Linked DNA regions of Macaca mulatta. The protein of the gene in region 1 purifies or fractionates together with the protein of each later gene. This does not show direct contact. Links are inferred from orthologs where the notes say so. Each region holds a gene or a part of one and is shown on either strand. Other genes may lie near its edges.

The links. The genes of interacting proteins can lie anywhere in the genome.
Region 2: the proteins of FKBP5 (region 1) and CDK9 purify together in Homo sapiens (affinity purification with mass spectrometry; 10 studies listed by BioGRID and IntAct, counting the BioPlex papers as one, with this or other methods). This does not show direct contact. The link is inferred for Macaca mulatta from reciprocal best matches to the Homo sapiens genes FKBP5 and CDK9.
Region 3: the proteins of FKBP5 (region 1) and CHUK purify together in Homo sapiens (co-immunoprecipitation; 4 studies listed by BioGRID and IntAct, with this or other methods). This does not show direct contact. The link is inferred for Macaca mulatta from reciprocal best matches to the Homo sapiens genes FKBP5 and CHUK.

What each region holds. Positions count from the first base shown.
Region 1 is NC_133409.1:146,648,505-146,653,881, reverse strand, and holds part of FKBP5 (peptidyl-prolyl cis-trans isomerase FKBP5), read right to left. Parts: intron 2,113-5,377; coding exon 1,970-2,112; intron 1,050-1,969; coding exon 935-1,049; intron 1-934. UniProt on the Homo sapiens protein: Immunophilin protein with PPIase and co-chaperone activities. Component of unligated steroid receptors heterocomplexes through interaction with heat-shock protein 90 (HSP90).
Region 2 is NC_133420.1:19,919,563-19,925,718, reverse strand, and holds the start of CDK9 (cyclin-dependent kinase 9), read left to right. Parts: upstream 1-2,255; 5' UTR 2,256-2,303; coding exon 2,304-2,395; intron 2,396-2,856; coding exon 2,857-2,938; intron 2,939-3,675; coding exon 3,676-3,766; intron 3,767-4,104; coding exon 4,105-4,271; intron 4,272-4,371; coding exon 4,372-4,543; intron 4,544-4,701; coding exon 4,702-4,850; intron 4,851-5,265; coding exon 5,266-5,631; 3' UTR 5,632-6,156. UniProt on the Homo sapiens protein: Protein kinase involved in the regulation of transcription.
Region 3 is NC_133414.1:112,276,314-112,282,456, reverse strand, and holds the start of CHUK (inhibitor of nuclear factor kappa-B kinase subunit alpha), read left to right. Parts: upstream 1-2,242; 5' UTR 2,243-2,318; coding exon 2,319-2,423; intron 2,424-2,773; exon of another isoform or gene 2,774-2,923; coding exon of another isoform or gene 2,924-2,974; intron 2,975-5,814; coding exon 5,815-5,909; intron 5,910-6,143.

The DNA.
Region 1 (5,377 bases):
GGTTCACGCCATTCTCCTGCCTCAGCCTCCCGGGTAGCTGGGACTATAGGCACCCTCCACCATGCCTGGTTAATATTTTGTACTTTTAGTAGAAACGGCTTTCCCAGTGTTAGGCAGGCTAGTCTTGACCTCCTGACCTCGTGATCCGCCCGCCTTGGCCTCCCAAAGTGCTGGGATTACAGGCGTGAGCCACCACGCCCGGACTTTTTTTTTTTTTTTTTTCCCCACAGAATCTTGCTGTTGTCCAGGCCGGAGCCAATGGCACAATCACGGCTCTCTGCTGTAGCGTTGATCTCCAGAGCTCAAGTGATTCTTCCACCTCAGCCTCCCAAGTAGCTGGGACTACAGGGATGTGTCACCACACTTGACTAATTCTCTTGATGCTTTTTAGTAGAGATGGGGCCTCACTATGTTGCCCTGGCTGGTGCCGCATTCCTAAGCTCAAGAGATCCTCCTGCCTTAGCCTCCCAAAGTGCTGGAATTACAGGCGTGAGCCACTGTGCCCAGCTAAGACTATCTTTGAGATATATTCAATACTTTTTTTTTTTCTGAGGCAGAGTCTCGCTCTGTCACCCAGGCTGGAGTGCAGTAGCACCATCTTGGCTCACTGCAACCCCCACCTCCCCGGTTCAAGTGATTCTTGTGCATCAGTCTCCCAAGGAGCTGGGATTACAGGCATGCACCACCACGTCTGGCTAGTTTTTTGTATTTTTAGTAGAGATGGGGTTTCGCCATGCTGGCCAGGCTGGTCTCAAACTCCTGAGCTCAGGCAATCCGCCCGCCTCCACCTCCCAAAGTGCTGGGATTAAAGGCGTGAGTCACCACGCCCAGCCGATATGTTCATTTCCATAAACATATTTTTTTTAAGTCTCCATTTCGTCCACATAAATGGTCCAACTTTTAAGGACTAGTTCCCTCTTACTTTAATACTTACTTTCTACTGTTGCTCCTTCGTTTGGATTTGAATATCCCTCTCCTTTCCGTTTGGTTCTCCGGATAATGCCTCCATCTTCAAATAAGTCCTCTCCTTTGAAATCAAGGAGCTCAATCTAGAAAGAAAAAAGGAATTCAGATGAGAAAAGACCAAATAAAGCCAATTTAACATATGTGAAGGCAAGGGCAACCAATTATTTCATTTTACAAAATAAAGCTGTTTCAAAATGTATACATTCATTTATGCATCTTAATTATTGGAAAAGTAGCAAAAAAAAAAAAAAAAAAACCCACTATACTTTTCCATACTTGGAAAGAATTTCACATAATGATAATGTCTAGGACTATATCCTAAGGGACTGCGGTGCAGAGACAGGAAATACTAGGAACACTACCCTGTGGGCAAAAACCCAGAGCTTTACAAGGTGCTGGTGTAGAACAGTTTGTCTGAGGCCACAACTTTCCCACCCTGGATTTATGGAGTTCCCTTCTCAAAATGTAAACATAAATTTCATGAATGTGGCCTATGACTGATTAAAGGTATATTTTACCTAGCTGGGGTAGTTCTTAAAAATCAAGTTTTGCCAAATATATGTAATTTCAACACAGGTTGAATAATGTTTTATCACCATCAAACACTTCTAGAGAAGTGAGATCTGTGACATATAAACCTTTATAATATGAAAATACCCTGCAACTTGACATAGGCATATTTCAACATTTATTGCCAACATTTCCATCCTGCATTCTGGTCAATTTTGAGTATGTCACACTCACACCATGGACCAGATTCTTTATTTCTAAGTGTAGTGTCTTTTGCGTATTTGGATATGACCTTTTTGTGGTGGAAATACGTTTCTCAAAAAGCACTGGCACGTGCACCCTTGGGTTTGTGGGAAACAATCCAAGAAGCCATGCTCCAAAATAAGTAAGTTGGATGTGATTCTCTATAGCTCCTTTTCCCACTGCCTGTTGCTTCAAAGCCATTCCTATTGTAGAGCAGATGCTGACAAGGCAACATCACACACATACTTGCCTCAAAAAAGAGAGTTGCATTCGAGGGAATTTTAGGGAGACTGCCAGCTGAGCCATATGCATATTCTGGTTTGCACAGTAAATGGCATATCTCTCCTTTCTTCATGGTAGCCACCCCAATGTCCCATGCCTTGATAACTTGGCCTAAGAGAAAGGAAAAGGTAGTTGAAAGCTATCAGCCCTATTTAAAAATATTTAACTTTCATTAAACAAAAGTTCAAATTTCCAGTTTTTCATACTACATATTCAGCTAGAAAGTATGGGCTACAAGATGACCGAGTGCTACATACAAATAAATAAATATTTATTTATTTCAAGGCTATCATAAAAGATTCCCTGTTGATCGGCCCAGCACTTTGGGAGGCTGATGTGGGAGGATCGCTTGAGTCCAGGAGTTTGAGACCAGCCTGGGCAACATAGCAAGACCTCATCTCTTAAAAAAAAACAACAAAAAAAACCCCCAAGGAACACAGCTGGGTATAGTGGTGCACACCTATAGTCCCAGCTACTCCAGAGGCTGTGGTGGGAGGACTGCTTAAGCCCGGGAGCCCAGGAGGTTGAGGCTTCAGTGAGTCAAGATTATGCCACTGCACTCTAGGCTGGGTGACAGTGAGACCTGTCTCAAAAAGGATTCCCTGCTGAAAGGGATGAAAGTAGTATAAATTCCTAAACTACTCAAAAATTAAGTCTTTGAAAACTGGTGGTAACATTATCCATGAAATATGGCTGTGTTGCAACTGTTGCTTAATTTATCATTTCAACTATAATAAGCACACATTTTCTAGGCAAAGATAGAACAAAAATAGTATTGAAAAATAGAGTTTGTCCTAAGGAAGCTTGTAATTTAGTTGGGTAGACAAAAACAAAACAAAACAAAACAAGAAGTAACCAGAACAATATAAATTGCATAAAAGGGTCTATGAAACACATTTCTTCTCGAAATTTAGAATCAGAAAAAGGTTTCTTTAAACAAAAACGTATGTGTCTTTTTGTCAAACCACAACTACAGAACTTAAAATGTTTTATTTTTTGCCTACTTCCAGGAAACTAAGTTAAATTTACTGCTCAATTGTAGGACTATATTAGGCTATATAATTGTAATCTCAATGTTTACAGTTCCTATGATGTGCATCATTATCTTACTGTAAGCAGTATCAAGTCCTTTGGGAAACAATAGAAAATTCAGGCAATTTAAAAGGCTAATTACATTTTGGTGGGGCATAGTGGCTCACGCCTGTAATCCTGGCACTTTAGGAGGCCAAGGCGGGTGGATCACTTGAGGCCAGGAGTTCAAGACCAGCCTGGCCAACATGGTGAAACCCCGTCTCTACTAAAAATACAAAAATTAGCCAGGCATGGTGGTATGTGCCTGTAATCCCAACTACTTGGGAGGCTGAGGGAGGAGAATCACTTGAACCTGGAAGGCAGAGGTTGCAGTGAGTAGAGATCATGCCACTGCACTCCAGCCTGGGCAACACGGCAAGACACTGTCCCAAAAAAAAAAAAAAAAAAAAAAAAAAGGCTACATTACAAATGAGGTACTTTGTTAATCAAAAACATTAAGTATCTGGGGGTTGGGCACGTTGGCTCACGCCTGTAATCCCAGCACTTTGGGAGGCCAAGGTGGGCAGATCTCTTGAGCTCAGGAGTTTGAGACCAGCCCAGGCAACATGGTGAAACCCCATCTCCACAAAAAAATATTGAAAAAATGAGCCAGGCGTGGTGGTGCTTGCCAGCTACTCAGGAGGCTGAAGAGGGAGGATTGCTTGAGCCCAGGAGGTCGAGGTTTCAGTGAGCTGAGATCATGCCACTGCACTCCAGCCTGGGCAGCAGAGTGAGACCCTGTCCTGTCTCAAAAAACAAAAACAAAAATGTAAGTATTCAAAGTGGGATCAGATAAGAGATGAACCCCAGAGGAAGTGAATTTGAAGTGAGCTGGTGGTAGGATATTAGGACAAGTGAAACCCTACATAACCGTATGTAAGCAGGGATGGATAAACCATTTGTCATTCATGATTTTAGCTTAATCTTCATTAAATATTACAACTTTTCCAAATGTAAGCTACATTTATTTCAGTTAAAAATATATGTTAAGTGGCCAGGAACAGTGGCTCATACCTGTAATCTCAGCATTTTGGGAGGCCAAGTGGGAGCATCCACTTGAGCCCAAGAGTTTTAAGACCGGCCAGGGCAACACAGTGAAACTCCTTCTCTACAAAAATTTAAAAAATTAGTGCAGCATGGTGGCACATGCTTGTAGTTCCAGATACTTTGGAGGTTAAGACAGGAGAATAGCTTGAGCCCACGAGTAAGAGGCTACAGTGAGCAATGATTATGTCACTGCACTCCAGCCTAGGTGACACAGCGAGACCCTGTCTCTTACAAAAAAAAAAAAAAAATTATTCAAGTAATACATGCCTATTATTAAAACACCCATGAAAGAGATGGAAAGTCAAAGCAGAAAGGCCATCCATTTGTTCCTTATAAGTCACTGTTTTGTTTCTTTGGTATCCTACTGTGTGCTGTACCTTTTTAAAAAAATTTAAAACACAAATGACAGTGACCTAGACATTCAGTTCTAAACTACTTTTTCATTTAATATATATCTTCATCCTCTTTCTCCAACAGTAGAAAGGAGGATGTACATTTTAGAGGTCAAAAATGCAGCATACTCTAACCTCAGACTACCTGGATTTAAATACCAAGTTTGCCTTTTACTATCTGTGTAAACTTGTGCAAGTTACTTAATCTCTGTGCTGCAGTCTCCTCACCTGCAAAATGTAGATAATAACAGTACTTGCCATATGTTTTCAGTTGTTTTAAGAATTATTAGACAAAACACATCAAATGCACGGCATGGTGCCTGGCACATAATATGTATTTGATAAAGGAAAAACATTATTGGGTGTATAATACAACAATCTCCTATTGATGCATATATTACCAACAATAATCTAATGAGACTACTTGTCCATTTATGTTTGCCTACTTTGCATAAGTATATTTGGAGGGTAAATTCCTGGAAGTGCAAAGGTGATATGCATTTTAAATTTGATAGTTATTGCCCAACTGTCTTTATAAAATGGCTTTTTTTTTTTTTTAAGAGACAGGGTCTTGCTCTGTCACACAGACTGGAGTGCAGTGGTATGAGTATCGCTTACTGCATCCTCAACCTCCCAGGCTCAAGCAGTCCTCCCACCTTAGCCTTCCAAGTAGCTGGGACCTCAGACATGTGCCACCACATTGGGCTAATTTTCTTCTTCTTTATTTTTTTTGTAGACAGAGTCTCACCATGTTGCCCAGGCTGGTCTTGAACTCCTGGGCTCAAAAGAACCTCCTGCCTCAGCTTCCCTAGTAGCTAGGACTACAGGTGAATACCACCATGATTTTAAATTTTTCTGTAGATATG
Region 2 (6,156 bases), on another chromosome or scaffold:
GAGAGGCTCCTTCCTCCTCAGCCTGACTTTCCAGCCCCTCCCTGGTAATGCCCTTACCCAGAACAGGACCTCTTGTGACATCAAGGTCATCAAAGCCATTCCAGCCTCCTCCTAGGAGGCTTTGAGGCTAAGCAGTGTGGGGTGAGAGCTGGGAGCCACCCCGAGGGTTTTTTTTTGAGACGGAGTCTCACTCTGTCACCAGGCTGGAGTGCAGTGGCAAGACCTCGGCTTACTGCAACCTCCACCTCCTGGGTTCAGGCGATTCTCCTGCTTCAGCCTCCTGAGTAGCTGGGACTACAGGCACCCAACACCACGCCCGGCTAAGTTTTGTATTTTTAGTAGAGATGGGGTTTCAACATATTGGCCAGGCTGGTCTCGAACTCCTCACCTTGTGATCTGCCTGCCTCGGCCTCCCAAAGTGCTGGGATTACAGGCGTGAGCCACCGCGCCCACCCCAAGGGCTTCTTGCAGGAAGAGAGGGCATCCAGAGTCTAGGGGAGTGTGGAATCAGGGGAGAACCGCCCTGAAAGCAGGAAGGCTTAGGGAGACAGTAGAGAGATTTGCATGGCCACAGCCTGGGAGGTGGGGTGTGAACTGGAAAGAGCTTCCAATGTCACATTCAGGTTCTTCGGGGACAGAGAGGCCAGACTGGGGGGCCAGGTCTCAGGATCCACCCGCAGAGGGCTGGAGAGGAGGGGGCAGATTGAAGCGGGGCAAAGGAGGCAGAAAAGACGGCTTTGCCGGAGGCTGTCCTTGGGCAGAGCTGGAGGGGGAATCTGGGGGCCGCTGGAGCCAGGAAGATGCAGGCGAAGGGATGGGCGCGATGGGGGAGGGAGATGGGGGGGTGAGTGGTGAGCTCCCGCTTGCATAAGGACAGCAAGCCTCCCCAGTGCTCTCCTCCTGGCCCAACCACGGATAGCCTGAGTCAAGAGAATCCCCTTCACAGTCAGACACCCAGCTTTGTCGCCGTGTGACCTTGGGCAAATGACCTCACCTCTGAGCCTCAATGTCCTCTTCTGCAAAATGGGTTAGTGATCCTGACTATGGGGCTGTTGATTCAGGATTCGGCGGAAACGCCCAGCACTTCCTGAGCACACAAAGAGTGCTGAGAAAATGGTAGCTGTTTTTTGCGATTATTGACCCGGGGCCTGATCAGCTCTGGCGCGACTCGGCGAAGGCGCGAGTCCTGCGGGTCCCATCCCTGCCTCCTGGAGAGCCAGGCTCCAGCGATAGAAGGCCCGGGCGTTGCTTGCTCGTCGCCTCCAGTGCCGCCGCGCCCCCTGGCGGCCGTCGGTTGCCATGTCAACGGAGGGTGGCGGGGACCGGGGGAGGCGGAGGCGGGGGCCGTTTTCTCCTCCCAGGGCCGGAGGACGCTCCCTCCGCGCCTCCCGCCTTCGCCTCTTGGGGGGGCACTCCGAGCCGGGGAGGAAGGGGCTCTCCGCGGCAGCCGGCATGTGGGGGTAAACTGAGGCACGCGGCTGGGCGCCCGCAGCCAGGTGCCGAGCGCGGGGCCCCACCTCCGAAGGCGGAGGAGGGGCCGCGGGCGGTGACGCGCCGAGGGCGGCCGGCGGACAGCGAGCGGGCGGGCGGGCGGGCGGGCGGTGGCGGCGGCGGCAGGTGCGGCCGCGGAGGGTGGGAGGGAGGAGGGCGGGGGCGGGCGGAGGAGGAGGGGAAGGCGAGGCCGGGCACCTCCCCCTTTATAACGCGCCCCCTCCCGGGCTCTCGGGCCGTCTCCTAGTCGGCTCTTCCCGTCTCGCCCCCTCGCCCGGCCGCCCCGGGCCCGGGCCCGGCCAGGGAGCCCCCAGGCCGCGGCTCGGGGGCTGCCCCCCCGCCCGCCGCCCCGCGCAGCCCGGCGGAGGCGGCGCCGTCGGAGGAGGAGGAGCAGGGCACTGCGGCTGGCCCCGGATCGGGCGCCAGAGCGGCAGCAGCTTCGGCAGCAGCGGCGGCCCGGGCCCATGCAGCGGGACGCGCCACCCCGAGCCCCAGCTCCGGCGCCCCGGCTCCCCGCGCCCCCGATCGGGGCCGCCGCCAGTAGTGGCGGCGGCGGAGGCGGGGGCAGCGGCGGCGGCGGAGGCGCCTCTGCAGCTCCGGCTCCCCCTGGCCTCTCGGGAACTACAAGTCCCAGGGGGCCTGGCGGCGGGCGGCGGGCGGAAGAGGCGGGGTCGGCGCCGCGAGGCCGGAAGTGGCCGTGGAGGCGGAAGTGGCGCGGCCGCGGAGGGGCCTGGAGCGCGGCGGCGGCGGGACCCGGAGCGGGAGCGGCAGCAGCAGCGGCTGGGGGCGGCGGCGGCGCGTTGGAGGCGGCCATGGCAAAGCAGTACGACTCGGTGGAGTGCCCCTTTTGTGATGAAGTTTCCAAATACGAGAAGCTCGCCAAGATCGGCCAAGGCACCTTCGGGTAAGGCTGGGCCCCTCGGGGCCGGGAGCCGTGGGCCTGCACCCCTAGGGCGGACGTCGGGATGCCCCGGGCCCCGCCCGAGTTGGTAGAGAAACCGTCTGTCCCCGGGCTTGCCCACTGGTCTTTAGGCCGCGCCGCACCCCGCCCCGGCCTGAAGGAGCCGGCTGGTGGGGAGGAGCCTGAGGCCGGTGGTGGGGGCGGGGAGGGGCTGCAGAGAGGCGCCCGTGAGGGGAACGGGATCTCTCCAAGAGACGCCCAAGTGAGGAGAAGGGACTGAGAGAAGGAAGCAGAAGCTCCGAACGAGACAGGGTGCCGGGTGGCGGGGTAGCCGCGTGCCCTGGGTACTTACCCCAGCCCCGCCCGGGAATCTTTTTGCTGCTGCCCCTCCTCCTGTAGTGGGGGAGGGGCGGGCCCTGCGGAAATCGCCTGATGAGCTCTCGGGTCTCCCTTTCCGCCTGCAGGGAGGTGTTTAAGGCCAGGCACCGCAAGACCGGCCAGAAGGTGGCTCTGAAGAAGGTGCTGATGGAAAACGAGAAGGAGGGGGTGAGTACGGATCGGGCGTGCGGGCCAGCCGTCTAACTGCCCAGGACCCCGGGTCGGTTTTCCACCCTGCTGCTTCTAGGAGTCTCAGGTTGAGATTTAATTTTTTTCGTAGTAGTTCAGAAATTTCCAGGGAATTTGGCCTCCACCCTAAAACTAAATGCTTCATTCTTAGGCAGTTATGGGTGAGACCGGGAGGGGGAGTTGATGCATGCATCGTGTGCACTTTAGTTCACGAAGTTAGGAAGCCTTTAAACACCTTTTTTTAGTGTTAAATTTTGCTTAATGTTAAAGAAAGATACATATGCATGCAAATTTTTGAAAAGTGACTAATACTCAGTTATTTAATGTGTTTAAAAGGAGCGGTCCCTCCACCCCATCTTAGCTCAAGTACAACGTCCCATAAACCTTCCTTTTCCTGATGTGCTTTAGCGAGGACATTTTTGAATCGTCATGTTTGTTGCCAACGAAACAGCCATAGAGCTGAAGTTTGAAGGCTGAAACCGCCGAGCATTTAGTGGCTAATAGCAAAGTATTGCTGTTTCAGTTTGTTGTCTCAAATCATCTCCTTGAAGTGTGCATGCTCCTACTATATCCATTTTACAGGCAGAGCTTCTGAGACAGCTGGTTTCAGAGCCCATGATCTTGCTCTGTCTCCCATCTTGCCTCTCAATATAGACCCCAGGGCTGGGCTCTGTACTGCGCTCACTCTTGACCACTTTCCCCTCTCTCCCACCCAGTTCCCCATTACCGCCTTGCGGGAGATCAAGATCCTTCAACTTCTAAAACATGAGAATGTGGTCAACTTGATTGAGATTTGTCGAACCAAAGGTAAGTTGTTTGGATCTTATGAGGAGATGACACTTGTAGCCTAAGGTTTTGTTCGTAAAGTTGGAACTAGACCCACCTAAACTGCCTCCTCTTAACTCAGATGGACCCATGGTGACTGCTTTCTCTGGTCCTCTTTCATCGTAGCTGGTGCTTCCTCGGGGTCTGCCCTGGCCCAGAAGAGGCACTCAGAAAATATTTGACCAGTGAAGGAAGGAACAGACAGATGCTCTGGAGGGCTTGGGTGCCCATGGGTTGGAGCAGGAAGAAAGAAACTGGTTGTGGGAAAGTGTGTTGGGTGTGGCTTTCTTGACTTTTTCTTCCTTGTATTCCTGCCTCAGCTTCACCCTATAACCGCTGCAAGGGCAGTATATACCTGGTGTTCGACTTCTGCGAGCATGACCTTGCTGGGCTGTTGAGCAATGTTTTGGTCAAGTTCACGCTGTCTGAGATCAAGAGGGTGATGCAGATGCTCCTTAACGGCCTCTACTATATCCACAGGAACAAGGTGGGGGCGAGAGCTGGGAGGAGGACCCAGGCTTGGGCTGGCCTTGGCTCCCACTACCGGGTGGATATCACTGAAGGAGCCACTCTTGCCCTTCTTGCAGATCCTGCATAGGGACATGAAGGCTGCTAACGTGCTTATCACTCGTGACGGGGTCCTGAAGCTGGCAGACTTTGGGCTGGCCCGGGCCTTCAGCCTGGCTAAGAACAGCCAGCCCAACCGCTACACCAACCGTGTGGTGACACTCTGGTACCGGCCCCCGGAGCTGTTGCTCGGTGAGGACTCCCGAGCGGGCCGAGGGGGGTGAGGGCCAGGCATCTACCTGGCCCCCGCCCCCCCACTGCCAGGGCTTCTTGAGCTGCCGGCCCTGGGGCATTGAGTCTCAGGAGGCCTCCGGGCTCAAGGGGCCCTCCTGGTGCGCTCTTCTTCCCAGGGGAGCGGGACTACGGCCCCCCCATTGACCTGTGGGGTGCTGGGTGCATCATGGCAGAGATGTGGACCCGCAGCCCCATCATGCAGGGCAACACGGAGCAGCACCAACTCGCCCTCATCAGTCAGCTCTGCGGCTCCATCACCCCTGAGGTACGGGGTCCCGGTCCCCCGGCAGAGGAGTGGGGAGTGGAATGGAGGGAGCGCTCCTCTCTGGAAGGGAGGCTGGTTTGGTGACAGGGCCTGCCCTTGAGAGCCACACAGGCTATGCGCCAGTCTTGGTTCCATCAGCCATTCTGTGGCCTTGGGCAGAACAACTGAGTCAGCGCTGGGTTTCTCTTCTGTGAACCAGAAATGTGACGTATGTCAGGGTTGGGCCTGGCATGTGGTATGTGCCAATCTGTGGCGGGCACTGCTTCTCTTGGGAGGGGTCGAGTTCTCTCTCCAGTAGTAGTCTGGGAGTCTCGAAGTGGAGCAGGTATTTTAGTCCTTTTAGGCCTTAACAAAGGGATAAGCCACGTACCTCCTGGCCGGACTTCATCCTCTGTCAACGCCCCCTCCCTCCCAGGTGTGGCCAAATGTGGACAACTATGAGCTGTATGAAAAGCTGGAGCTGGTCAAGGGCCAGAAGCGGAAGGTGAAGGACAGGCTGAAGGCCTATGTGCGTGACCCGTACGCACTGGACCTCATCGATAAGCTGCTGGTGCTGGACCCTGCCCAGCGCATCGACAGCGACGATGCCCTCAACCATGACTTCTTCTGGTCCGACCCCATGCCCTCTGACCTCAAGGGCATGCTCTCCACCCACCTGACGTCCATGTTCGAGTACCTGGCACCACCGCGCCGGAAGGGCAGCCAGATCACCCAGCAGTCCACCAACCAGAGTCGCAATCCCGCCACCACCAACCAGACGGAGTTTGAGCGTGTCTTCTGAGGGCCGGCGCTTGCCACTAGGGCTCTTACATTTTTTTCTTCTGCTATGTGACTTGCATCGTGGAGACGGTGGGGCATTTGAGTTCATATCTCTCATGCATATTTTATTTAATCCCCACCTTGGGCTCTGGGAGCAGCCCGCTGAGTGGACTGGAGTGGAGCATTTGCTGAAAGGCCAGGAGGGTATCGGGGCTGTCCTGTCCTCGCTGGCTTTCTGGATGGTGCCCAGAGGGTTTCCATGGGGTAGGAGGAGGGGATCTCCCACCAGTGACTTTTTCTAAGAGCTCCCAGCATGGTGGAAGAGGGGACAGTTCCCTCACCCACCCACAATCCTATTCTCGGGCTGAGAACCCTGCGTGGGGACAGGGCTGGCCTCAGGAATGGGCTGTTTTTGGCCTAACCCTCAGAAGCACTGGGGCTGGCACAAACTCTTGGTTTCTTTAGCAGGAGAATTTTATCGTGTTTCTTTTGGTTCCATTGTTTGGAGACATTCCTGGGCACAGTTTGGTCCGTTAGAATTAAAAGG
Region 3 (6,143 bases), on another chromosome or scaffold:
CGGGGTTTCACCGTGTTAACCAGGATGGTCTTGATCGCCTGATCTTGTGATCCGCCTGTCTCGGCCTCCCAAAGTGCTGGGATTATAGGCTTGAGCCACCACGCCTGGCCAGAAATATCAGTATTTAAGGAGGGCTTGAAAATAGTGATCTAACATTTACATGGAGAAGGAGCAAAGAGAATACTACATAGTAGGAGCAAAAAGAAAAATATTTTTACCTTTATATTGGGCACTTACAGTCCAGACACTGTTTCATTTAATCTTCACAAAATCTCTGTGAGGTAGGTATTACCTCTATTTTACATGAAAAAGAATAAAAACTGAGACTCAGAAAATTGAAGATTGTGGAGCCTGGGGTCAACAGGCTTAGGCTTTTTAAAAATTTGAAGGCTGGTCGAGGTGGCTCACGCCTGTAATCACAGCACTTTGGGAGGCTGAGATCAGGAGTTGGAGAGCAGCTTAACCAACATGGTGAAACCCTGTCTCTACTAAAATAGAAAAAAATAGCCAGGCATGGTGGCACGCACCTGTAATGCCAGCTACTTGGGAGGCTGAGGCAGTAGAATTGCTTAAACCCGGGCAGTAGAGGTTGCAGTGAGCTGAGATCACGCCATTGCACTCCAGCCTGGGTGACAGGAGTGAAACTCTTGTCTCAACAACAAAAAACAACTCAAATTACTCATGGCCCTGGGAATGGGGGCATTTAAAAAGTTAACAAAGGGAACCAACCTGGTTTCCACAAAGATGGCCACTTCCGGGTCAGCCCAATCATCAGTATCCCTGGGTCCTCAGTATCCCTTCCTCTTTTGAGTGGGAATTATGAGATTACAGCCCCACCTATGGAAATTGAGCACACTAGCACTGGCCATGCTGTACATACGTCAAATGAGAGGGCTTCATACTGTTATAACAATCTGTACCACAATTCTCTGTGCGGTCTGCCCAGCTCTAAATGACATGTCCTCAGAGGCGCCATCATCTCCAAGTCCATGGAAACCACGCACTTACAGAAACCAGAACCTCCCATACCACATGTTACTAATGACCTACAACATCGACTTGGTCTGTATCATGCAGTGCTCAACATTCTGGTTGCAGCATCACATTTCTCAAGAATTTGATTCCATGCTGACTCCTTTACTTGGAGTATTGAGATTCCCCAGGTACAGTGAAAGTATGAGCCTCTCAAATGGAAGACCAGAAGCTGGTTGTCCTATGCTATGTCAATCCGCCACCCGGAAGCACTTGCTGCACCAACAGCATTCCCAAAGCTTGCCTCTGCAGCCCTGCAGCACCCATTAGAAACACTTCTCACAATGAACTGCTGTGCTGGCAGAGCCCTAACTGGACTGCTGGACAGCAAGCTCTGTGAGGCATCTAGGAAAAAAGTTCCCGAAATCCCGAGAAACATTCTTCACTCCGGAATAGCGTCACATCATTGAGTCATTTGGGATGACGGGGCATATCATGGAGCAGGTGTATTGGGAAGTCAGTGAACAGTAAGGCTAATTCATTAGTGGGCCTGCTGGCGTAGTATTTTTCCAGTTCCGCAGCCTTTAAATCATTGGTGGTCTTTAGCGTGCCGGATCAGCGGGTGGTGGAGTTGGAGGATAGATGGCAGGGATCTGAAGAAAGGTGAAGTGTAGACGAGTGGAGACAATGTGAAGTTTAGAAAAGACTAATTGCCGGGCGTGGTGGCTCACGTCTATAATCCCAGAACTTTGGGTTGCCGAGGTGGGAGGACTGCTTGAGGCCAGGAGTTCGGGACCAGCCTGGGCAACGTAGCAAGACCATGTCTCTACAAAAAACAAAAAAACCAAGCGAGGTGGTGCGCGCCTGCAATCCCAACTACTCGGGAGGTGGGAAGATCGCTCAATTCCGGGAGGTCGAGGCAGCAGTGAGCCGTGATCATGCCACTGCACTCCAGCCTGGGCAACGGAGCAAGACCCCATCTTAATTAAAAATATATATTTAATACAGGAGAGACTGGACTGCTTTGAAAAGTGAATTTGATGGGAATGCGAGGTTTGGAGAGATGTTATGTTTTCCAAGACTTGAAAAACATTGTGGTTCCGTTCAGCCCTCCCAGAAAATACCTAGGGGACCTAAAGAGCGGACCGAGTACCTGTTCGTTTCCCCACCCCTTAGCCGGCAGGGCTCCGGCGGCGCCCTGGGAAAACGTAGGGAAGGGCCGTTCTCGCAGCGGTTACCGGAAGTGACGCATTCATTCTCGCGAGAAGGAAGACGCGCGAGCGTCGGCGGCCCGGAACCGGCCTTGGAACAGCGGCGGAGCCTGAGGCCGCTTGCCCTCCCGCCCCATGGAGCGGCCCCCGGGGCTGCGGCCGGGCGCGGGCGGGCCCTGGGAGATGCGGGAGCGGTTGGGCACCGGCGGCTTCGGGAACGTCTGTCTGTACCAGCATCGGGTGAGGCGGGGCGCGAGAGGGAGCGGCGGTGGGTTTGAGCGTCTGTGGAACACAGGGCTGACAGTGTGGGATAGATGGTTAGTGGGACCTTGGGCAGTATTTGTGGGCCAGTAGGCTTGTGTGTGTGTATGAGAGAGAAAGATACTCTGCCTGTGTGTGTCCAAAGTTGTATCTGAGGTACTGGGCATAGATAGAGCTGTTGCGGGGAACTTGGGTATGACTGTCAGGCTGTGACCAGGTGTTTAGTGAGTGTGACAGTGCGCGTGTGTCTCTGTGAATGTAGAGTGTCAGGGTGTGTGAGGCAGATGCACGTCACAGTGTGTATGTGTGAGCACGAATGTGTGAGAAGAGGGTTGAAGGAGACTGCCTGTTGGAATGTGTGCGTCCGTGTGTTTGGGTCCGTGTGTGCGCGCGCTTGCTTGGAGGCCGTGTGATATCAGTGGGGACTGCAGTAGACAAGGAAGGCTTCATGATGGGTCCAGAGTTAAACCTTTGGAAGTATGGATGGGCTTTGGAATTGGGGATGTATTCCAGGTCGGGACAGTATGAGGGTAAGTTGGTGCAGATCATGGCTTCAAACGGAAGGCGATATTAATAGATTGGAGATGGGGGGCGCTCCAGTCAGTGGAGGACAGTTAACATCAGACTCAAGAATTTTACTTTGATTTAATAGAGAATGTTTAACCATTGTAACAGCAGTTTAAAAAATAATATTTGGGTCATGTTTGTGTGTTTGTTAGTTTTTGTTTTCGAGACGGAGTCTCACTCTGTTGCCCAGGCTGGAATGTAGTGGCGCGATCTCGGGTCACTGTAGCCTCCTCCTGGGTTCAAGCGATTCTCCTGCCTCAGCCTCCTGAGTAGCTGGGATTACAGGCGCCCGCCACCGCGCTGGGCTAATTTTTTGTATTTTTAGTAGAGACAGGGTTTCACCATGTTGGCCAGGCTGGTCTCGAACTCCTGACCTCAGGTGATCCACCTGTCTCAGCCTCCCAAAGTGCAGGGATTATAGGCGTGAGCCACTGCGTCAGGCCTGGGACATGTATTTTTTGTTATAAAAAATGATAATCAATAAAAGCTGTGAACCCTTTCCCCAGAAAAATGCACAGATGCACATCCACGCAACCATGCATTGCCATTTGAGAGGTTCATGCTTTCCTAAAGGACATTTTAGGTAAATAGACCCCGGACTAACACTTCCTGTAATACAGGCTTTGTTTTGTTCCCTATAAAATAGGTATAGTATAATACTTGCATGCATCATGGGTTTGAGAGTTAAATAAAATAATAATGTATGTAAAGCTAAATACAGTACCTGACCCATGAAAGCCCTCAACTGTTAGCACCTGCTGCTACTTTGTTGTTGCTGCTATGATCATAATGCTCCTCATTAATTGGCCTTAAACAAGGAAATGTCAAGATTAAAAGTGTTGTTCTAGGAAAATGGTTTTGTGAAGGATAAATTTGAGTGGAACAACATGTGGGACAAGATGAACAGTTAAGATTTTACTAAAATGCCTGGGCTTGGATTGTGAATAGAGAAATGAATTCAAGAGGAAAAGTAATAATTTGTTATCTAAAGGAACATGGGTGTAGTGAGAAAGCTCATAATTTGGGGTGGGAGAAAGGGGAGATAGGTGTCTACTTTGGAGAAATAGGCATGTTTAGGGTAATTAGAATGACAACTGAAACTGATAGAACTGAGGAAGTTTTGTGAACCAGGTTTCTAGATAGGGTGTGGGAGAAAATCTTGGAGAAAGAGAATGGAAGGTGAAGGACTAAGGCATTAAATCCTATGATAGCAGGATAAGTAGTAAATTTAATAATTCTCACCATCAGAGGGAATATAACACACTAAAAAAAAAAGTGGGAGCCAAGTGCTTCCAGTGGCATGTTGCCTGTGTTACCTAAGCCTGCCTATAGACTGATCATAAGGAAAAAGGATGCATGCTGGCAGCTTTTGTGACTTCTTTTTTTGGTCCCTGGGTGGGGATGGATGAATTCATCACTTTTTGTTTTATTATGGTAAAGTATACATAACAACATTTATCACTTTATTTTTAAGTGTACAGTTAGGTAGCATTAAGTATATTGACGTTGTACAGCCGTCACCCTATCCCCAGAATATTCCAGCTTTTTAAGCACATAACTTTGTTGTTGTTGTACATCTATAAACTGCCCATAGAACATTCTTTGCAAAAAGGTAGAATTTCACAGAGTGGATGAAATATAAATTAAGGAGTTGAAGGATCTTACAAAGTGGGATTTTTGAAATAGATAACTTACTGCTCCATCAACATGAGCATTTAGGACTCAGTGCTGTTCATAGCTGTGCCTGATTCTCATCTCCATGGTGGTAAAGGTCTGCATGGGACATAGATATAACTGGCCACCTGCTCATAACAAAAGGAAGACTGAAGGGAGTGAGACCTGTGGGTAGGCTAGCTTGTAGTCTGTCCTATTTTCCTTCTTCTCTATGCACCAAGTATCATCTTATCTCTAGCCTTTTTTTCCTCTCAGCCCCCAATTCACACTACCCTATCCAAGCTGTGTCTTCCTTCCCCACCTATAATATATTTTTTTCTGTCCTGGCCCCTCTCTTTATTCATACACAGCCTTTATTACAACTCTGGTTTGTGTCAGAGATTACGTATGTTGGAAATTCTTTTGAACTCTCTTTGTGATATCAGAAACATAGTGTAGCCTGTTTTGCCCTGGCTGCTGTTTCTGAGCTGCATTATTAGTGTTGCCAGAATATGATGGGATCTGGCTATTTCCTGTAATGTGCATCAGAATGGGTTTAATTTCAGTCAGAATTGGCTAAATTACTAGTCACAGGCCAGAGATGTTAGGTTCATTGTGTAGATATGGAAACAGAAGTACACTCATTGGTAGGATTTTTTTCCTTCATGTCATTTGAAATGCATACATTAAGATTGGAGTTTTTTGCTTTAGGCTTGGTTATATTAAAACTTTCTCTTGCTGTTTGGAGTCCAGGAAGCCCTGAATTACCTTCTTCATTCTAGTTATGCTGGGAGCTGGGGCCCATGTTAGTTGTCTTGATTAAGCTCTGAATGGAATTTGCTGCGGAGACAGGATCTTTTTTTTTCTGACATTACACATGAGAGAGAGTTCCAAAGAGACCTGTTATAAAATCAGTTTCAGTCACTTTTCCCTTGTGTGCTGTTATGTGTTCGAAGGTCAGTTTTAAAGCATTGGTGTAATAGTCTCATGGTTTATCTTTTTAAAAAAGCGTTGCTTCAAGAGAGCTGTGGATAAATATATTTAATTAGTAAAGCTAAAAAGTTTTGTTTTAGGTTATTTCTTTGGTAGCAAATAAATCTGCACAAGAACCTAATTTTTTTTTTTTTCTGCTGATTTTCTATTTTGGCAGGAACTTGATCTCAAAATAGCAATTAAGTCTTGTCGCCTAGAGCTAAGTACCAAAAACAGAGAACGATGGTGCCACGAAATCCAGATTATGAAGAAGTAAGTGTACTCCTTGACTTATATTCCCCTGGTTCTACAGCCCAACCAGATGTCATCATCGGGAAAGAGACCAGGAATCCACTCTTCTCAGGATCTTTTTGGGAACATGTATTTTTTTCTCTCATTAAATATATTATGTTTCAAATAACATCACATTAGGATTAAGAAGGTTTAGTTAAAATCAGCTAGGACACTTACACACTGTTGGTAGGAATGTAAAATTGTGCAGCTGTT